Linked DNA regions of Drosophila melanogaster. The protein of the gene in region 1 purifies or fractionates together with the protein of each later gene. This does not show direct contact. Each region holds a gene or a part of one and is shown on either strand. Other genes may lie near its edges. The genes, in order: tn, Pglym78 and Ald1.

Region 1 (6,765 bases):
GCAGCATTTGTGCATTATTATTTGCGGTCAAGTCTTTTGTGGCTTGGCCTTTTAGAATATCCAAACCCCTTTGAAGCCGCAGCAAATGGCAGTGCCAGCAGCGGACTAATTAAAGAAATATTCATTTCAAAATACTTGTAGCTCCGCCGGAAATTGCACACCCTCACACACATTGACACACCGCTTTGGCTTCTCAATATGTGTGTATATGCGTTAGTGTGTGTGTGGTTGTGTGACGTGCATGAGGCAATCAATTACGGCGAACCGTTTTGCCAAAAAAAGCGTGTTGCCTACTTTCCGGCGCCCGCGTGTTTGCCAACACAGCAGCACAATTAATTATGTACATTGGGGCCGCTTTTTCCCTTTTTCCCACCATCACTCCCACCATTTTCTCGCCCCTTTCCTTGCTGTTTGCCCAAGTCTGTGTTTGTGCACACAGAGGGAAAATAATTGGCCATATTATATTGTAATTGAGTCAGCCTTTATAGCAACAAAACATATATTAAATTTAAGTATGAAGGTTTAATTGCGATAATTGTTACTCATAAATAACTGCATACAATTGATTCAGTTATCTAAAATTTATTGGTGACATTGAATGGGGGAAATATTTTGCCAACCATGTACACTTATTTATGAAGGAAATCATAAAACTAAAAAAAAAAAGTACTACAGCTATTTTAAAATAAAAAAAAACAACATTTTTTTGTCCCTTAGATTTTTCAAATCATAAGTTATTAAAACTGTGGAAATATAAGATCGATTGGTATTAAATTTCTTGCACTGCACGACAAAATATCGCGGAGGATGAGAGTCATCCTTGAGCTTAGACGACAGCATATGCTCATGCATGCCTAATTACGATAAATCCTTGCCCTTGCCCGTTCTCACTTACCAACTTTCACCCCATCCTATGCCTTTCACATTCACTTTCGCTTTCCCTTTCCCGCTCTCACTTTCACTCTCGAGTCTCGAGAACAAGCGCGCCCAAATGAAGTAGGCAGAAACAAGAAGAACAACAGCAGCGCCACTTCACAAGGATCATTCGCGTGTGAGTGTGTGAGTTTGTGTTTGCCAGGACTCTTTGGATGTAAGAGTGTGTGTAGGCGTTCATAATTATGGCCGTATTTAGAGAAATTGGTTATTATGTGCTTAACGCCATTTGTCTGACTGGAAATAGTTTGTTTTCGGGGGCCCCCTGCTGTTGGACATATCTTTGTGGAGGTGTGCTTAGCCAGTTTCTTAATCCGGAACCACTTAGTAATTTTTATCTTTTAGTAACGTGTTGGAAGCAAAATAAATAATGAAATGGCTTTAAATATTCTTGAAAAGCTTAATGCCTAGAATATTTTTAATAGTTAAATTAAATTGTACCCTTAAAGCTTAAGCGTTTAAATATGTGTGTTTAACATTATACAGGAATTTTTCTGAGCGGAAAACGGTTGGAAAAATGTAGCATAAATTTACAGAATGTAAATTTCACACTAATTCAAGCTTAACAATTTGAATCAATTATTATTTCGCGGAAAGCTTTAATGTCAATATGCTTTAGTTTATAGAAAATATGCATCAATTAAAGAAAAATTAAGCAGTTCATAACGAGTTTAAACATATACAAGGGATTTCTCTGAAAGCGAATCCATTGGCAAAAAAGCTTAAATTCCTAGAAAATGGATTTTCCACAAATTAACTCTCCATAATTCAATTGAAATTTTAATCCCCCAGGAATTCAAGCTTAAGAATCAATTTCAATATTGGGTATATTTTTTTGACTCTCCTTTAAATTTATCAATTTAATACAGCTTATTGCAAGGAAAAGAGATAAGCTTGGTAGCTATTTTCTTTGTAAAACAAAATGGATTAGCTTACTTCAAAAGCCCTTGAACTAAGCTTATTTTCAGGGCCATAATCCCTGGCCGATTTCAATTAAACTTTGCTGTAAAATACCAATCAACTAGCAACTTTTGCGACCACCCTCTTAGTAAGTTGGACTTGGCTAATACTTGAAATTGTCTGCTAATTCGTAATTATTGCTACTTTACCATGTTGCTCCTGCGTTGACTGAATTGGCTGCCCTTTCTTGGGCAATTAGGACGAGGCGCTGGCTGGCAATGCCAAGTGTCCCCTGGTCGAGTGGCTTTCACTGGAGGTTCCGGATTCCCAGCATACGTGTCCATCAATAATGCGTCCTGGCTGCTGGCTCCTGGCTCGCATCGCCGCAGCCATGCCTTCCATTCGTCAATTGGCCATCCATCAGTTCTAATTAATCATGGCTCGGGCCTAATGAGTTGCTCTCAAATATGCTGGGAATGAATAGATGCCACTATTTCGGACGCTCCGCTAATGGAAATGGGTCTTAACTCGTGCTATACAATTGTCGCCGTTCCGATAGCCTTGTTGCAGTGTTCACAATGCAATGTCCGCAATACGCAATTTCAATTTCACGAGAACCAGCAACTGCGCACAAATCCAGCGGTGATTCTCATGCACATGGAAAATATACGAATCCTTAGTTAATTCTTGGAAAGCAGTTTGATAAATTAATTACTTTCAAAGGAACATCGTTAATTAATAATTTTCGTTATATCAGCATCGAATAGGAGGGGCACACACTTTAACTTTTTATTAGTGACATCAAAATATTATATTGATGAAGAGATGCTGTTCGAAACCTAATTATGTATGTTATATATATTCAAAAAATACATTTGGTTACCATTTTAGTAACTTTTTCTCAGCGTGTAATAGAGGATATAGCTGTGGCTATGGCGTTGTCAGTGGGACTGACCTAGAGTCCGTCAACAACTTGAGCTGCCTTGGCGAACGTGTTGACATCTTTGTTTTGGCCCGCTCATAATTCGCATTTTTTCGGTTTGTTTTTGTTTTGACTGCGGCTGCGGCTTTGTTTTAGCTCGCTATTTTTTCCGAAAATATATTAACGGCTAACCCGATTCATCAGCCTATTGACAAGATGTCATGTGGGACAAGCAAATGACCGAACAAAAGACCGAATGTCTGGCGAGGATGGCTAAATGCAGACCAATCATACTGCATGTGATGACGGAGAGGAATTTGGTATTTATAGAATAATAAGCGAAAAATAAGTAATATTAAAGAACTAAATGATTTAAGACAACATAGTAACAAATGTTGATCTTCTTAGGCATATTATTAATATATATTACGTAAACAAGTGCTTAGAAACAGAACTTAATAAATTAAGATGAAATAAATATTAATAATTCAATGACAAATCTTAAGCGTATATATTTTATTATGATGTCTAGAGTAAAAAACCTACCTATCTCTAAATCATTTGTCTTTCTGTTAACACTTTTAATTATGCTGAATTCTATAACTACATAAAACTCGCGCGATATTTGCTAAGACATCAATTTCCTTATTCTATATAAGTATCAATATTTCTATAAATATTTAAAAAAATTCGAAAATGAATCATTCTGCCAGATAAATGCGTGGGCGTCGATCTTTTCCTCAGCTTTTCTTTCCGCTGGACTAAAGAAAAGTGAAAATCTCACTCTAATAACTGCGAAATAAGCCAGAACAATAACAGGTAAGAATACGTATTGAACAATATATTGTCGCTCTTGGACTTTCTGCGCGACATTGTAAAAAGCGAGAGGAATTCTTACAGACAATTATGGTACATATATTATATTATATGTATATATGTATATAATTCTTGCACAGGTTCGTTGGGGTCGGGTGAAGCTGGGAAACAACAAAAGTGCTACGTGAAAGTGGGAAGAAGACGCAGAAATATTTGTGGCACTTTTGTTGTTGCCTCAGGTTATATTTATAAAATTTCACCTCAAGAACGGCTGATCATCAAGCGTTCGAGAGTCGAGCAGAGAAAAACATTCATTTTCATTTCTGGCACGCTCGCGAGTGGACGTGCGGACCGATACGCCGATAATAGCTATAGCCCAGTTCGATTCCCAACCACCTATATCCATATATATATATCTATTAAGTGTATATAGAGGGGTGCAAAGATCTACCCAAAGATCTTTCACCTGTCGCGCAGTGCGTGAGGGTGCGTCCAAAAGCACCAGTAATCGCGACGCGAGTGTTGGTTTGAGCCAAGGCGGTAATACATCGTACCTCAGTTTGAAAGTGAAGTCAGTGAAAGTCCTTGTGCCGCCAAGGCATGCGAATAAATTTGCAAAAGTTTCGCGAAGCATCAGGAAATAGAGGAAGCCAACGCAAGTGAGTCGAACGGGGTGGATACGTCCTGATTTTAAGCTCGTTTTTGGAAACGCATTCAAATGGAGATGAGCTCGACGCATTCAATGGCTGCTGATTATGTAAAAAAAAGAAGAGAGAAAACGGCGAAAGGCGTGAGAATCTCGGCGAGAGAAGGAGCTTGGGAAAATGTCACCTGGCTGAAAATTGCGCTTTCTCAACATCCCACCGTGTGCACACTCCCACATTCGTGAAAAGCTGTCAAAATTATTTTCATCTCCTTCGGCTTCGCGTTCAAAATTTATTAACAAATTTTGACATAATCATGTATACAAATATATGTTGATGAGGATCTGTTATACGCTATATTACGTGTGTGTGTGTGTGTGTGTGTGTGTGCATATCTCATCAGAAAGCATGGCAATAATTTGCCCACACTCACACACACAGGCACGCACACAGAGACGCACATTGCTCATACGCCGTGTTGCTGCCTTATTTTTAGTTCGATTCAATCAGCGACATTTTCAGAGATTTTCTATTTCCATTTCTGTTGTTTGTGTTTGTCTTTTGCCCGCTGCTCGCTTATCATTGATTGCTTTGTTTGCTTTTGTTTCGGTTTCGGTTTTGCTTTTGCTTGTTCCTTCTCCCATTCTCGCCATCCATTTGGAATGTTTGTGGTGGGCTTTCTCGTATTTATTTTTATATTCACACCTCTCACACAAAACAATTAATTTCTCGTTTCGAAATATAAAAATAAAAATAATACGGAAGATTAAGTGAGAGAGGCGTGTGCGGTTTAAATTTATGTGCCGCCGGAAAGTAGGCAACAGTTTTTTCCAGTTTTCCTTTTAGCTTTATTGCGAGCACTCGCCTCTTTTCAATTCACTTCATCTGCCCTCCAACCCCATCCCTCCTCCGCTCTTTTCGAGTGTGCTTCAGCTGGGCGGAAGTTCAAGGTCGCTGGCAGCATTAAAGAAGTGCCATTGCAGCACGCTGGCAATAGATATCCACCTAAACTAGTTTTGATTCGAATTTACTGGCCACTTTTGCAACTTAAATTAAAAACTGCTCGAAAGTAGCGCGTTGGCAACTTTAAAGTAAATGTATTGCTTATGATTTCTTAGTGTTGTCTCATTTTCTTTATCCATTCATTTAAAGGTATTTTAAAAACTACATAAAGTTGTACACCTTTTTGTTGAAAAGTTTTTGTTTCAACAGACAAATAGCATTTATATTACCAAAATCTAATATGGAAAAATATTCCAAATGTTTCCGAGCTATTGAAGTTTTTAAGTCACTTGTTTTAAGTCAACTTGTTGGTTGCTGAAATCTGTATTATGTTTAAATATTGCTATATTCAAAAGCTTAGTGATTGCAAATAAAACCAATCTGCAATAATACTAAAAACGAAATCATCATAAAATGTATGAATTGATGTATAATTTTTCATGCCACATTTTACTGTATCATTTTAGTAACGCAATGAAGCTCCGAATTGTGCTCATTAAAGAAAATTAATTATAAGGGATATCAATGCAATTGTGTGAACAATTAATTTCTATTAAATTCCCTTTACGCGTTCGATGCTCAAAAGACCGCCGATGTAATCATGTTATTATAGTTTCGGAAATTGGTTTTCCATTGTTTAATTGTTTCCTTTGGTCGAAAGGAACTCGGCCACGGCAAGTTAATTAAAAAGATCTACCTTCGCAGCCATATGCTCGACCCCAGCTGATTATTCATTAACCTGGTCAAGAGTGTGTGGCCCACCGAGGAGCTTATCTGTCGCAGTGCACAATAAGCGAACCTTAAGCGCATTCCGAACTTCATTATCTTCGACTGTCAACCGCGCCCAATCGAATCCCATTCAATACTATCCAATCCCATCCAATCCCATGCCATCCAATGAATTCCAACTTTCACCACCCGCCTTCATCATTGTTTTGCGTGCCGCAGCCTTTGAGGCCGTATAATTAAGTTGGCATGATGCGGCTTATGCGCAGCGTGTTAATGGCCAGGTAAATGGCTACTCGACCCTCACTCCCCACAATTCACTCACAATTGCCTTTGGCTCTAAATTTAATATATTTTCTTTTTAATTTCAGCCAGCAGAGTTAACAGCCAAAGGAACAGGCCCCTTTCAAGGGCGCCTCGGATACCCAAGTAGACAATAAGAAGAAAACAACACTTGGAAACGTAAGTTATCACCGCTGAAATTGGAACGTCACAATACTTTGTAGTTTCTATAGTATTCCTTTGGGAGTGCAGCTAAAATTTCAAAAAGTTTCGATTGCATCTGCTTCTCCCGTCTGCTCCGTTTATTTATAGCCCAAAAATACAGTGCAGTTTTCATTTCTTTATTTGTTTTTCTTTTTGGCCTAGGAGTGCAGACTGCAGTCTGTGAATTCCGGGCTAGTGAGTTCTATTTTCGGCATATTCCCATAGGGAGATAGAATGATATATACAGAGCTAGAGGAGCGAAGTTCTGACCTTGAGAAGCATGCACAGAAAAAAAAACTGCGAAACTGGATAGAATTATTTTGGTAAAAGTAACAA
Region 2 (6,765 bases), on another chromosome or scaffold:
ACAGATGTCCAGCATCCACACGCTGTTCAAGTTCGCCACGAAGGGCTTCAACTCCAAGTTCCAGCTGGGCGAATTTGAGAACTTCGTGAAGGACGCCCACTGGGACTACGACAGACCCGTGCAACAGATCGTGGAGCACATCGAGACCAGCGTCGACTGGATGAACAAGAACTACAAGTCGATCGTGCGGTGGCTGGAGAACGAGGCGCAAGCGTAAGGAACGGATTCTGCGGCTTGGCTGGATCAAGGCTGCAGCAGTATTAGATTTCGCAGCTGCAACTGCATGGGTTGGGCCACCAATGCATTTATGTGTAATATTTATGTCGCGTGTTTTACCAATTCAGAGTCGCCAAAGAGAGAAAGCCCTTGGCAGATCGTCCAGAGCATCACGTTTTTCATTACTTTTAATGTATGCCTTCTTTTCATAACAATTATGAGTCTTGTAATTTTAATTTGTACTTAAATGTAATTGTAAATGTAAATGGAATTATAACATTGTTCGTCACAAAAAAGTTTTGGAAAGCCTATTCCTGTTTCACAGCCTGGTTTTTTCATTTCGGAACTCTGATCACATTTGCAAACATCAAGGTGCCCACAAAGACTAGCGCGGTGCCCAGCCAGTGCCACCAGGTGAAGGGATTTCGGAAGTATACGATCGAAAAGACCAGCGAGATGAACTTGCGGAGTGTGAGGATCAGAGTCACCGTCAGCGAGCTGCACTCCGTGGTCAGGGTGTAAACGGAGCTGATGCACAAATGCTGCGCAAGCACGTTGCCCAATAAGTATAGCAGGATTAGGGGCACTGCCACGCCCAGGAGGGGCAACTGGTAGGACTCGCCCGTGAACGCCAAAAGCCAGTGCGTCCGTATGTCGTCATGCATGAGCAGGAAGGCGGGCAGCGGCAACAGGTGGGTGTAATACAACGCTTCCCTGGCGCACTTGCCATGACGTCGATACAGCAACTCCTGTGTAATTCCCATGTAGGAGGAAACAAATAGAGCCAGCACCAAGAGTGCCACGCCCAACAGCCACCAGAACGTATCCGCCTCGGCGCCACTATCCAAATTCTCCATCTTACCCACCAAATCCGGACTGGAGAAATATGTGCAGACGAAAATGCCCACGCTGATCATGAGCACCGATATGTACTGACTCAACCGGTAACTCCTCTTCAGGATCAACGTGCACAGGCACATGTTGGAGATCAGCGAACCGCCGCGTATGATCATGTGCAGTGTCATTGGAACTTTGAACTTGAACACGTAGTTGTTGCATACGCTGGTCAGGAAAAACATGGCCACGAGGAGCGCATAGTCGCGCAGGCTGATCACTCTCTGGGCCAGGCCAAACTTCGAGGTGAAGATGAAGCCCTCGAGGGCAATAAATGCAAACTGGGCGCCAGTTATAAGGTTTCCAGCGCCGGGATCCAGTTTAACCAGGAGCTCCAAGAAGACGACGCCACTGCAGCAGCCCAAGAAAACGCCGCAGATGGCCGAAATAGCGCGGATGGATAAATTCATGAACTCGCGCAACGAAAGTAGACGATTCCCACCAACTTTAACCTACGATCTGGGCCATGACGAGCTTTTAAGCCAACTTACTTTCTCTTCGGCCATACAAAACGTAAACAAATGCAACAGGTGGTTATCGATAAAGTTCGGTTCGGGCACAGCTGATGTTGGTCTATCGAAAGTGGTTGAAATTCAAATATTCCAAGCGAAAAAGAAAAAATTTATGATTTTAAGAGAAGAATATTTTATTTAATGTACATTACATTCAAAACCAAACTTAAATATGTTGCCTAATCACATTCGAAATATTCGCACCAACAGTCTTTTACAACAATTACAAAATACAATGATGACAATGCTAAGAAAGAAATTACAGATTAGCAAATTAATGGTATATTACTTATTTTTCCTTTTCCAGCAAGGCAATAATTTTGTTTAACTTTTCCGTCTGCTGGGCCTCGAAGTTGTCCAGTCTCTTAGACACTAACAGCGTCAGCTTCTCAAATCTCATGTCGATGTGCTCCTTGAGGATTGCAACATCGGTGGAAGGCGGTGCAGTCTCTTGGGTTTGGTCCTTCGCCTGCGGGGAATAGCCCTTCATCAGGCTCATGAACTGCTCGAACTTTTCGGCCTGCTCCTCCTTCTTCAAGGGACTCGTGCCACCCCTTTGCAGCAGCTCTTGGATTCGCTGCGCATCCATTGGCCTGGGCAACTGGGTGGTTATGCCGTTGGGATTCGGCGCCACCTGGAGCAGGGCTCCGTAAACGCAGATCTCGCTGGCCGAGGTGAGCATCTTCAGGTTTATGTCATTTATCCCGGATCGGTCGATTTCCATGTCATAGCGATAGGGTCGCACCGCAACCTCTGGGTCCTCATCGTCGACGCAAGTGCCGTAGATGGTCTCGCAGTACTCCTGCAAGGGTCCAATGAACAGCTCCACCTTGGGAGCGCTGCAAATCAGGGTGAGCGCGGCGATTTTGAAGCGGTTCGGGATCTGGAAGCGCAGCTCACAAGGCGGCGGCGGATCCGCCGACTGCATGGAAAACAGCACGGCGCGATTCTCGTCGATCACGTCGTCCAAGTCGGGCCTGCGGACAAAGGAGGTTTCAAAATTACTTGATAAAAACCAGTTTCGGGGCGTGGAATCCTTTGTCTCACTTCACAAAGACGTCTTCGTCGGACAAGCGGGTGGCCACCAGTTGGTCCAGCCCGTTGCCCGACAGCTGGGGCCAAGTGCAGCGCGCGGTGACCTTTTCGCACATGCTTTAAGTGACAAAAAGTTGGAATTTATGGGAGCAAAATTTAAAAACAGCCAAATTTAAAAACCAAAACACGAATATAGTGATGACAAACGCGAGCGATAACATCTGCGCGGGGGATGCCAACCTGTTGCACAGCGCAAACTAATTGGACATTTGAAGGTAGCTTGACGCGCTATTCCAATAAGACCATACTCCGGAGTCCAATCAGAGAAGGCACCGCATCTGCGCACTACGTTTTTCCAACAGAACGGCAATATCGCGGCCTGACAGCTGCGACCTTGGACGGCTCCCTTGTAGGTCAAACTTCAGCAGAATTCCCACATATTGCAGTCGCAGCAAGGCGGCAGCTTAAGAACGAGTACACAATTATCCGCAGAGTGATCAACGCAGCTAAAATGGGCGGCAAGTACAAGATCGTGATGGTGCGCCACGGCGAGTCCGAGTGGAACCAGAAGAATCAGTTCTGCGGCTGGTACGACGCCAACCTCAGCGAAAAGGGTGAGTGATTACATCAATTTGAAATTTAAACCTCATATGTGGGATTAAAAATCTGATGTACATCTAGTTTCCAATCGATGATCCTTTGCTTTGATCAGTTTCACAATAGTATTCCTTTTCATTTACCCAAATTAATCTTCATTGACCTAGTGCAACATTATCTCATTCAAACTTTTCTGTGATAAAAATAGGTCTCTACAAACAAAAGCTTTCCAGTGCAATTTTCAGAAGCATCAAAATTCTAGTTTGTTACACTTTAAAGTCAAAAATTTGCCATCTCATATGTTTCTAAAGTTCAGATTATGCTTATGAGCATAATTTGATAGGTTATCGCCTTTTTTTAACCCTAGTAATCAAATTAAATTAAACGCATGCCTTTCAATTAGATTAAATTGGCTTACGTTCGTTACCCAACACGGCGTATACTTAATGTTCGCTAAACATTTGCCCAAACAGGTCAGGAGGAGGCCCTAGCCGCCGGCAAGGCCGTCAAGGATGCCGGCCTGGAGTTCGATGTGGCCCACACCTCGGTGCTGACCCGCGCCCAGGTGACGCTGGCCAGCATCCTGAAGGCCAGTGGCCACAAGGAGATCCCCATCCAGAAGACTTGGCGCCTGAACGAGCGCCACTACGGTGGACTCACTGGCCTGAACAAGGCCGAGACCGCCGCCAAGTACGGCGAGGCCCAGGTGCAGATCTGGCGTCGCAGCTTCGACACCCCGCCACCACCGATGGAGCCGGGCCATCCGTACTACGAGAACATCGTCAAGGATCCCCGCTACGCCGAGGGTCCCAAGCCCGAGGAGTTCCCCCAGTTCGAGTCCCTCAAGCTGACCATCGAACGCACACTGCCCTACTGGAACGACGTCATCATTCCCCAGATGAAGGAGGGCAAGCGCATCCTGATCGCTGCCCACGGCAACAGCCTCCGTGGCATCGTCAAGCATTTAGACAGTGAGCATGGGAGACATAACATATATCATATCATCTTTTTACCATATCCTTGTCCAATCCAGACCTTTCTGAGGACGCCATCATGGCCCTAAATCTGCCCACGGGCATTCCGTTCGTCTACGAGCTGGACGAGAACTTCAAGCCGGTGGTGTCCATGCAGTTCCTCGGCGACGAGGAGACCGTGAAGAAGGCCATCGAGGCTGTGGCCGCCCAGGGCAAGGCCAAGTAAGCACGCAGGCCACACCTCATGAGAATCCACTCAAATACGGCACAAGTCAGAGCATTCTGATTACGCTTCTGTTCAAGATGTAGCCAATCCCATTCGTTGTTGTTGTTCGCGTAGCAGTAATTGGTTCATCCCCACTACAGTTAATAAATAATTTATTATTACACTCAAGAGGACAGGCGGAGGAGGCTTCATTTATTGTCCGGCTCACTTCTTCTTATTCTTCTTGCCGTCCTTGGCCAATTCCAGGCCCAGGATGCACTTGGGCGGCACCTTGTACGTTTCCGTGAGCAGCGTGTGCACAAATCGCACCTGGTTGCCCTGGATTTGCAGCTGCTCGTGCTTTTGGTGCGGCAGTTTCACCACACTGGTGCTGGCGGCGGCTCCCTGCTTGCACAGCTTGATGAACTCGGCCAGGATGATGCCGTACGCCTCGATGTTGCTGACCAGCGTCACCTTCTTGTTGCCCGATCGCGTGGCCAGGGACATCTGGATGAGGGGCTTCCCGCTCGTATCTTTGCCGCTGCACATCTGGTAGGAGTGCTCCATCTTGCTGGTGATGAGGGAGCACATCTCGCTTAGCGAAACCTCTCTGTTACCATACAGCTCGATCAGAGTGTCGTCGGGGCGCACCAGCTTGGTCAGCGGATGGAGGAGACCATGTTTGCTCACGTACTCCCGCACAATCTTCTTGATCTGACCCGCCGGGATTCCCTCGCCGCGCTTGTAATTCAGCTTGGTGAAGAAGGCCGCCGTAACATCGGTCACTATGTACATCTCCTTCAGCTCGGAGTGGAACAGGGGCGTCTCGGACGCCGCTCCATTAGCTTCGCTTGCCTTGACATCGGTTATAAAGTTCACCACTTCGGGGTGCTCCAGGTCCACAGATGTGATTTTATCCACTCCCTTGCTCTCCTCCCGCACCACAATGAATCCTTGGTCCACCATCTCGGCCAGAAAGTTGGAGAGCTTTTTGTAGCGCGTCTTCTTCAGGTCGATTTGCTCCGTGGCCTCCGTGACCACATAGAGTCTGTAGAAATTGCTCGTCAGCAGAGGCAGGGGCAGCTTCTTTCCATGGTTTTTCAAGGCGGAGAGGAAGGCATTCTTGAGTATAAGTTCTGGTGAGGCTTCCTCCACGGCTTCTTCGTCGGACTCGGGAGCTTCCTGGCTTTCCAAGGTCAGAGCAGCAGTTTCCGTTTCCAGTTCCTCGGTTTGGGCCACCGTAGCGAAGGTCACAGGAGCGGGAGTAGCTGGGCTGGCGGTCTTTCTCCTTTCCGTCTCAGACCCAAGAGCAGGGAAATCCTCGCCAGACAAGGCCTTTGTCTTGACCAGCGGGATTTGCTGCACCAGACTGGGCTCATGCGACCAGAGCTTGTCCCCAAAGAGGTGGAGCATCTTGATGGCCACACCGTGACCTCCGCACATGTACAGTTCATCGCTGGAGCGAGCCAACTGGCCCACGCCCACCGCAGATTTGTTGTTTGTGAGGTTTACGGCCACTGAAAAAGACAATGAGATCAATACTCGTTACCTGGGGAATCCCAAGCAGATACCCACTCAACTGTCCCTTTTTGAAGTGCCCGTACATGCTCAGTCCCACGCCCAGGGGCACCACTCCGGGCAGCATGAGATCCGCTCCGTTCGTCAGCTTGGGTAACACACCCTCGTGGGTGGTGAAATAGGGCAGGATGTCCGGAACGATCCACAGGGTGTACAGGGTGGGCACAAGTTGACCGCCGTCCAGCTCGAAGAACAAAGGCAACTTGTCCACGCAGTAGACCATGCTCTGAACACCGCCGTGCGTTAGGATCTTCACCTGGGTCACCGCCGCCTTCGCCGGCACCAGCTGATCCACGGACACATGGGGGAACGCCGCCTCCACGCGCTGCCGGAACTTCTTGCTATCGGATCCCTTGAGGGCAGCACTGCTCTTGGGTCTGTACGGCTTGAGAAACATCTGTGTTTGGTGGTGTGCACTTGAGGAGTTCGTGAAATGGTTTGGAGTGGCACATGCACAGTGAAAACAAACAACTGGCAAACGGGGGTGCTGCTTTAGCTATTTTCTCGCCAGTTTGTATATTTAAAAAAATATCAATGGGATTCGATATTCTAAAACCAAGTATAAGAAACATAAGAATAAGATGCAGAAAAAGAAATTAACATAAAATAAAGAAGTGAGTCCTGTCTTTTCTTTTCACAATAACTCTACCCTAAATCAAAATTAGTTAAGAGCAGACGTTATTACAAGGACAGCACGCGCAGTAAAAATGCCGGCGGTCCGGAAAATTTCGAATCACCAAGGACTTCCTCAGGT
Region 3 (6,765 bases), on another chromosome or scaffold:
CACAAACATCAATGAAAATTCACATTTTAGAAAAATCCTCTTGGATTGTACTATACAAAGTTGGAAAAGTATCACTGCACTTTTTGGAATGAAATATTATATAGTGTCTTATTTTATAGTGTCTGTAATTTGCTAAAAACTATTTGCAAAAACCGAACAATTGTTTTAAGCTTAGATCACAAAGAAAAATCCGAACCAACCTCGACGATGATGTTTTTGTAACTGAGCAAAGTCACGGAAACCTCGGCAATAATTCCCTCTGATGTAATCAAAGTCATGGAATCTTGTGTCTCACTCTAACCGAATGCAGCTGTCTTCTTCACACCCGCATAATGCGTGACGTGGTAACTTTCACTTTTATTGCCGCTGCTGCTGCGCTGTTCCTGCAGGCAGCGACGCCAACGCAGGGCGCATGAATTTTCGCTTGACATTGAACAAGGTCAAGCAACAAGCCTTAGCAACAAATGTTGCCAGCGAAATTTGTTGCTTACGAAATGCGAATAGAAATTGTTGAAAACCGAAAGTCGTGTGGCGCGTGTGAAGTGCGATAGAGATAGCTAGTGTCCAGCAATATGTAGATACAGATACGAAGTCATCTGCGATGACTAAAAACCCATTTTATACTTGTTTGACATTGACAGTGAGCCAAGGACTGGGAATGGCATAAATGTCAGGTTAAGAGATTAGACCTCCGCAACTTATCGCGAAATATTGTTTACCACATCGACCCCACATTTCCCACGCCATATATTTAACACTTTGTACACGCGTGAATAGCTTGTGGTTCCTAAGAACAGATAGATATTATAAAAGCTTGATATATGCATATATTAAAAATACTGCACAGTTTAAGAATATATTAATATATCTCTAGAATACAAATCATTTTTTCATCTATTAATTTCTAAACAGTTATCTAAACACACTTCACAGAACGACACTAGATATGTATGTACACCCTTATCTATAGAATTATCTATAGATGTTGCGGATTCACTCAGCAGACAACACCCACCTACACTTGCCGGCAATCAATCGAAGACTGAAATGTTTCGAAAACTAGGCGAAATATATACGATGACAAAAAAGAAAGAGGAACGAAGAGCAGCCAACGCATGACAACAAAAAACAATCAAAATAAATTTACGTTCCTATCAAGAGACCGTTTATAAAAATAAACCGCCACATGTCCGTCTATATGTATTCGTGAGCTTGCTATCAGTGAAAATTTTGAATCGAAAACGACGAAAAAACGAGCCCCCAGTTGCGTTTTAGTTCCAAAGGTTTTGCATTATCATAACGAGATTTTAGGTCCGGCCTCCTTGAACGCAGACAGTGGGTCAAAAGAACATCCAACAGTTGAGATAATACTACTACTACTACTACGAACTGACGTCAACTGATTAGCCGTAAACATGGGTGGTAATAATTGTATACTTGTCTGAAAATAGGAAACTTCGAGCACTCCCATACTTCTATCTATGCCCTTATTATGTGACCCCAAAAACTTTGTTGTGGTAACTGTTTACTAGATAAGCCAATGTACCTTATCTAGTCTTATTTCATCGATTAGCTTATACTTTACAATGAGAATGTATACCTATAATTCCATTATATTCATTATAAAATTTCCCAAAGCTTGATATAAACGATCAAAGGAACATAAATTGGTTGTTTTAAATGTTCAAAACTCTTCTTAAAAATCCTAATCAGGTTGATCTTGAAAGGAAGTCCTTTGGAGTACCAAAACTTGTTTTCTGTAGGTTTCAAAACAACCCTTAAACTTCTGCCCCTCTTTTCTCATGTACTCTCTACAAACTATCGGTAAAATGTTTGCTCTCCTTCATTCACTGAAATCTCAATTAAATGGTAGGTATAAAATGCAATAGACAAAAGCATATTGCGTCTATCATGAGAAGACGTCAACAATCTGATGAATTTACGATGACGTTGGCTAATTGAAGTCTAAGCGAGAGAGCGATGGGAAAGTATACATATGTATATCGCGATGTATAGTACATACATTTAACATTTGCGCCAACTATTTATAAAGAAAAACCGCAGCGGCGACTACAAATTGCAGTTGAAAGCCTGCCAACAAGCAAATGAACTCGAATGAAAGAGCGGATGAAAAGTAAGAGAGCCGGTTGAGCCGGTAGAGAAAACTACTACTCACGAAAGTGAGCCAAAAGTCACCCGATAAGGCTTCTTATCGCCTGCAGTTCGCGTAGCCCCCCCACTCCTTCAACCGCGGTGCATAGGTCAACAACACTCGAGAGCCTCGAGGTTCTAGAACTTGTCATAAAAGTGGCGAGCACGCGGAAATGGTAAGATTAGAGAATAATTAAACTATATTCGAATACGCACTCACTAACACTAACACGCCTACAGATTCGCTGCTGCTCTGTAGATTTGGATTACGAAACACCCAGAGAAATGGGAACGATTACGCGACTTTTCAACTGCACTGCCGCCAATGGGGGGAAAAATATCTGAATTTTTTTTAAGGGGCTCAGGGGTTCTGTTCACTGCGTATGACGCCCACTCACCGAACTGGAAACTGAATCTGGGATGTGGTGATTAGCTGCTGGCTACTGGCTGGGTCCGCTGCTGCTGCTGCACTGGAGGAGAGCGGTTAACGCTTTTATTTTCGGCCCGTGTCGCTGCTACTGCCGCTGCCGATGCCTCTGCTACCGCTGACTGCGGCGTCAACGTGAAATTCCAAAGCGAAATAAGCGAGACATGCCGAGCGAGACCCCAAAAGGTTGTTTGGAGGTCGTCGCCGACGGTGTTGGGCAACCGACTGAGCCAAGCGCTTTAAATTCCCAGATCCCCAAACGAAAGGTATCCAAAATAAAGCTCATTCTGGGAGCTTTTAGTGGGGGATGGAACCTAACAGATAAGCTGTAAAACTTATTAGACAGCTTTGAGAAGCTTTAGCTTTCGTTTGGGCGGTAAAAATTTAAATGAAATGTGCTCAAAGCGTATTAACATAATAAATAATTTATCTTAAGATCTCAAACACTATACGATATATATTGAAATAGTATTGAAATGTTAAAAACAATAAAGTGCCACAAACTTAATGTCGCGTCTTGCTGGATATAGTCATCCCAAATCATCCTCATCAAGTGAACTATATGTCTTGCCAAGCTTTCTTGCCCAAAACTATAAAAAAGCATTAAAAATGAAGTGTTATCTTTGCAAGTATTTGTATCTTTTAACCTGTCAACAACATTTCCTATTCTACTTATGCATTGAAAAGAGGGTAGAATAATTAATTTGGTGTATTTTAACCTTAATTACGAGCGACCTGCTTTACTTGGGGCGGTCAATGAATTTTTCGTGACCATCAGCATCAGGCGCTCCAGCGGCAGCGCAACAAAAACGAGGGGTGCCAGAAGCAGCAGCTAGGATAAGCGACTTTCACGCCATGCCTGACCTCCTGCAATGTTAAAGGACTCAACCCCCTGGCACTGGAAACAGCTGATTGAGAGCGCAAACTTTGAGAAAATATCCCCCTATTCTGCCATACAATCTGTTCGAGCGAAAGAGAAAATCGTTTCGCTCTTTAAAATGTCCTAATATGACTTTGGCACAGTTTTCTGAATGAAAAGAATGACTGTGGAACGGGTTATAACATTTAAAGGATTTTAGATATTTCATAGACTATCTATGCTTAGGTTTCTTTAGTTAAAGTGATACAGTTGCTAGATATATATGAAATAATATGCTTACCTAATGAAGGAACCTTAGCCACAGTGCTCTTCATTGTCCTCGCTCTCTTTGTGCCTCGTGGCTTCGTCCTTCGTCCTGTTTCGGTTCTCGTGCCTGCCTCACTCGCTTCCCATTTTCGTTTGGGGATTCTGGTTCAGTTTTCAGTTCGAATTCGTGCGTCGGTCGGTCGAGTTGTGTGCCAAACGCTCGGCACCTGTCGCCCAACACGTGTTGCGTTCCACTTGCGCTGCGCGTCTCCTTCGCACACCCGCGTACACCGCGGCGTATACGCTACGTACTGTGGTGCAGCCAAAGCGAAATAATTTCTGATTATTCTAGTTATGTGAACCGAAAGTGGAGTGCATAAGAGTCTGAAATTCAAGCACCAGCTGTGTTTTAACTCATATTAAATTAAAGAGGAGATACGAAAAAGAGGAGTGAATTTGTGGTTCAGAAGAATGATAAATTGTTTTCCCAGTTTTGGTAAGAAACGATTTGGTTCGATTTGGTATACTCATTAAAAGTTGATGTAGATCAGATTATAAAGTATCTTTCAAAAAACTACAGAAAAATGTTCATTTCTAAAACTAATATTGATGGAACCCTTTTTTTTGCTTTACAATAAATGGCAAGATTAAAGATTAGGGCAAAATAGCTAGAAAAGTTTTTGATCAACTATAGTTAGGTTATACTATATTTCTATTTATCTAGTCTTTTTGTTAAAGGACATTTGAAATAGTTTTTTCTTAAATTCCATTTTTCTTCTTATAAGAGTTCACGAAAACCAAAAGAATGTGTGCAACAAAGAATGCAAAATAGTTTTCCCGGGGCTTGCTGAGTATTCAGCATACATACCAATATGGGTTTCGTATGCAGATTTCTGCCAGCCAGAGTCATAATATTGAGCAATTGATGAGAGCGCGTTTAGCTTGGCTTTGTGGCACTTGGCTCATTAATATGCGGAAGGCGACACAAAACACTCCCCCACGCCTCCACCCACACATATACAAACACACGCACACACACACAGGGAAAAGCCTCCCCTTCCCTAAACTTGTGTCTGTGTTTTGTCTCGTCCTCATCTGCATTTGCCCAAAATGAGAATGAGTATCCCATAACCGACTGAACAGCATCCTGCTTGCTGATGATAATGTTGATTCCTGCCTTCCGCAACAATTTGCTTTGAACCTAATCCGCCCCTTTTTCTGCCACGCCCCAGTAGCTATAGCTTAACCAAAATTCGAAATTCATACCAGTCTCCGGCTCACATTTCACTAGCTTTTGTTGCGGCATTTATAAATGCTTGTTACCTTTTCCTCTTTTCATTTTTAGTCTTGGTCGGAACAAAGTGTTTATGGTCTCTGGCAGTTTGAATTTTGTATCTTTGTTCAGGAATCCCTCTTGAAATGATACAAATTGCGTTTTCCTATTATTCGTCAGCCTAGATTTGCAAAGCTATTTGGAGATTGAGTTCAATTAAATAGAGAACGTCATTCAATGGAGCAGTATCCGATATGAAATGAAAATGTAGGCATTGCAAACTAATTACTTTTTACTCGATGGGTAAACATTTTTGATTGAAAAATTGTGGATAAAATCTTAAGCATACAAATTCCCAAAAATAGATGTTTCTATTCGAGAATACATATATTGGCTTGTTAGTTTTAAAAACAAATTCAATCGGATGACAACTTAAATGTCTGTACTAAAAAATACTATGTGCGAGTGCTATGTCCAGCATGTTTAAAACAAAAACTGCTCAATAATTTGACATCTGCTAGGCCATTTTTTCTCAAATTTCTTATGGTATTTCGCAACATATGTCGTTTTATTTTGGGTCAACCAATTCTTTTGAGGGATTCATTTGTTTCTTACGCGTGCAATTGGCCTCCACTCGAGCCTAAATTATGCATACAAAAAAAGGGAAATAAAAACAATAAAGGGGTGACCTGAAGGCGAAGGTCGAGGCAAATCAAACAAATGGCAAGAAACATGAAAATGTTGTAAAATAATTTCAATTCATTCTTAGGCCATTCCGCATGCCCCTAGGTTGGTTGTCATTCCATTGGCATTTGTGCGGTTTGCTCTTGCCGCTTTTCCGGTCCTCGGAAAAATCCCATTCAATTTTTGTGTTCAGTTTCGCTTGTTTGCGGACAAACAAGAATGAGCGAACAAACAACGATAGAAGCACAATACACCGACACATGTATGGGACATCCTTGTTAAAGTTTGATTTGAGCCCTTTGTATTTCTAATGTTATTTTATTTCGCCATATGGGTCCCGTTTCTTTTAATTTATGTATATATCTACTATATGCATATGCATTGTAAAAAAGTTTATATTTTCGAATGTTTAGGCATGGTGCTCTTGTATGTTATATATATGTATATCAAGAATAGCATATCATAGGTATTAGCTTATGAAAGTAGATATTTTTGGTATGTAAAATTTGTAAATCTACCTTAATTAATCATAACAAGCTAGCTCATATTGCGCACGTATGTTAACATAAATACTCCTGCTCAACGTTTTGGAAAATAATCTTCTAGGAATTAATTTGGGTTTGTTCGCCACCCACTTAGGGAATTTGTCTGGTCATGCGATCAGCTGCTATTACCAAGACTTTTAATGATACGTTTTATTATCCTTGTAAAATTGAATAACCATAAACCAGAAGAAATTTCAGTATGGCCTCCAGCAACTTTGGCATTATGGGTGGGAAGCCTTATCGCAGTGGGCGGTGGCATTCTTGACGAGCTCACAAATCCCAAAACCTCCTTGAAGCTCCCCACATTTCTCCAAGGGGTGGTGGTGGGTGCTTTTCGCATTGACTGTTTGCTACAATTCGCTAGTGAATGGAATTTAGAGCTGAATAAAAGGAAGTTGGGGGTCTGATTATAAATAACGTAAAGTAAGCGCACATGAATGCATTTTGATTGTCTGATGTAGTTTACGGCACGTTTCCTTTATTTTTTGCCGCTTCTGCTGCTGGAGTTGTGAGGCAAAATGGAAATGAAAGACGACAAACTCGCCCGCCAGTATCTGTG

What was found.
Region 2: the proteins of tn (region 1) and Pglym78 purify together in Drosophila melanogaster (affinity purification with western blotting; one study listed by BioGRID). This does not show direct contact.
Region 3: the proteins of tn (region 1) and Ald1 purify together in Drosophila melanogaster (affinity purification with western blotting; one study listed by BioGRID). This does not show direct contact.

The regions. Positions count from the first base shown.
Region 1 is NT_033778.4:18,983,462-18,990,226, forward strand, and holds the start of tn (thin), read left to right. Parts: upstream 1-3,882; 5' UTR 3,883-4,230; intron 4,231-5,922; exon of another isoform or gene 5,923-6,227; intron 6,228-6,314; 5' UTR 6,315-6,405; intron 6,406-6,765.
Region 2 is NT_033777.3:29,145,282-29,152,046, forward strand, and holds Pglym78 (phosphoglyceromutase 78), read left to right. Parts: upstream 1-2,966; 5' UTR 2,967-3,168; coding exon 3,169-3,271; intron 3,272-3,727; coding exon 3,728-4,225; intron 4,226-4,287; coding exon 4,288-4,454; 3' UTR 4,455-4,620; downstream 4,621-6,765. Other genes in the region: superdeath (suppressor of ER stress-induced death), read left to right, coding at 1-217; CG14511 (uncharacterized protein), read right to left, coding at 552-1,520; CG11882 (uncharacterized protein), read right to left, coding at 1,912-2,599, 2,670-2,773; eIF2D (eukaryotic translation initiation factor 2D), read right to left, coding at 4,659-5,950, 6,009-6,408.
Region 3 is NT_033777.3:26,258,787-26,265,551, forward strand, and holds the start of Ald1 (aldolase 1), read right to left. Parts: upstream 2,806-6,765; 5' UTR 2,550-2,805; exon of another isoform or gene 2,368-2,549; intron 2,328-2,367; exon of another isoform or gene 2,116-2,327; intron 1,050-2,115; exon of another isoform or gene 1,016-1,049; intron 428-1,015; exon of another isoform or gene 201-427; intron 1-200. UniProt on the Drosophila melanogaster protein: Enzyme of the glycolytic pathway. Glycolysis is essential in glial cells but not in neurons; neurons rely on the citric acid cycle for their energy needs, and on lactate and alanine secreted into the hemolymph by glial cells to fuel it.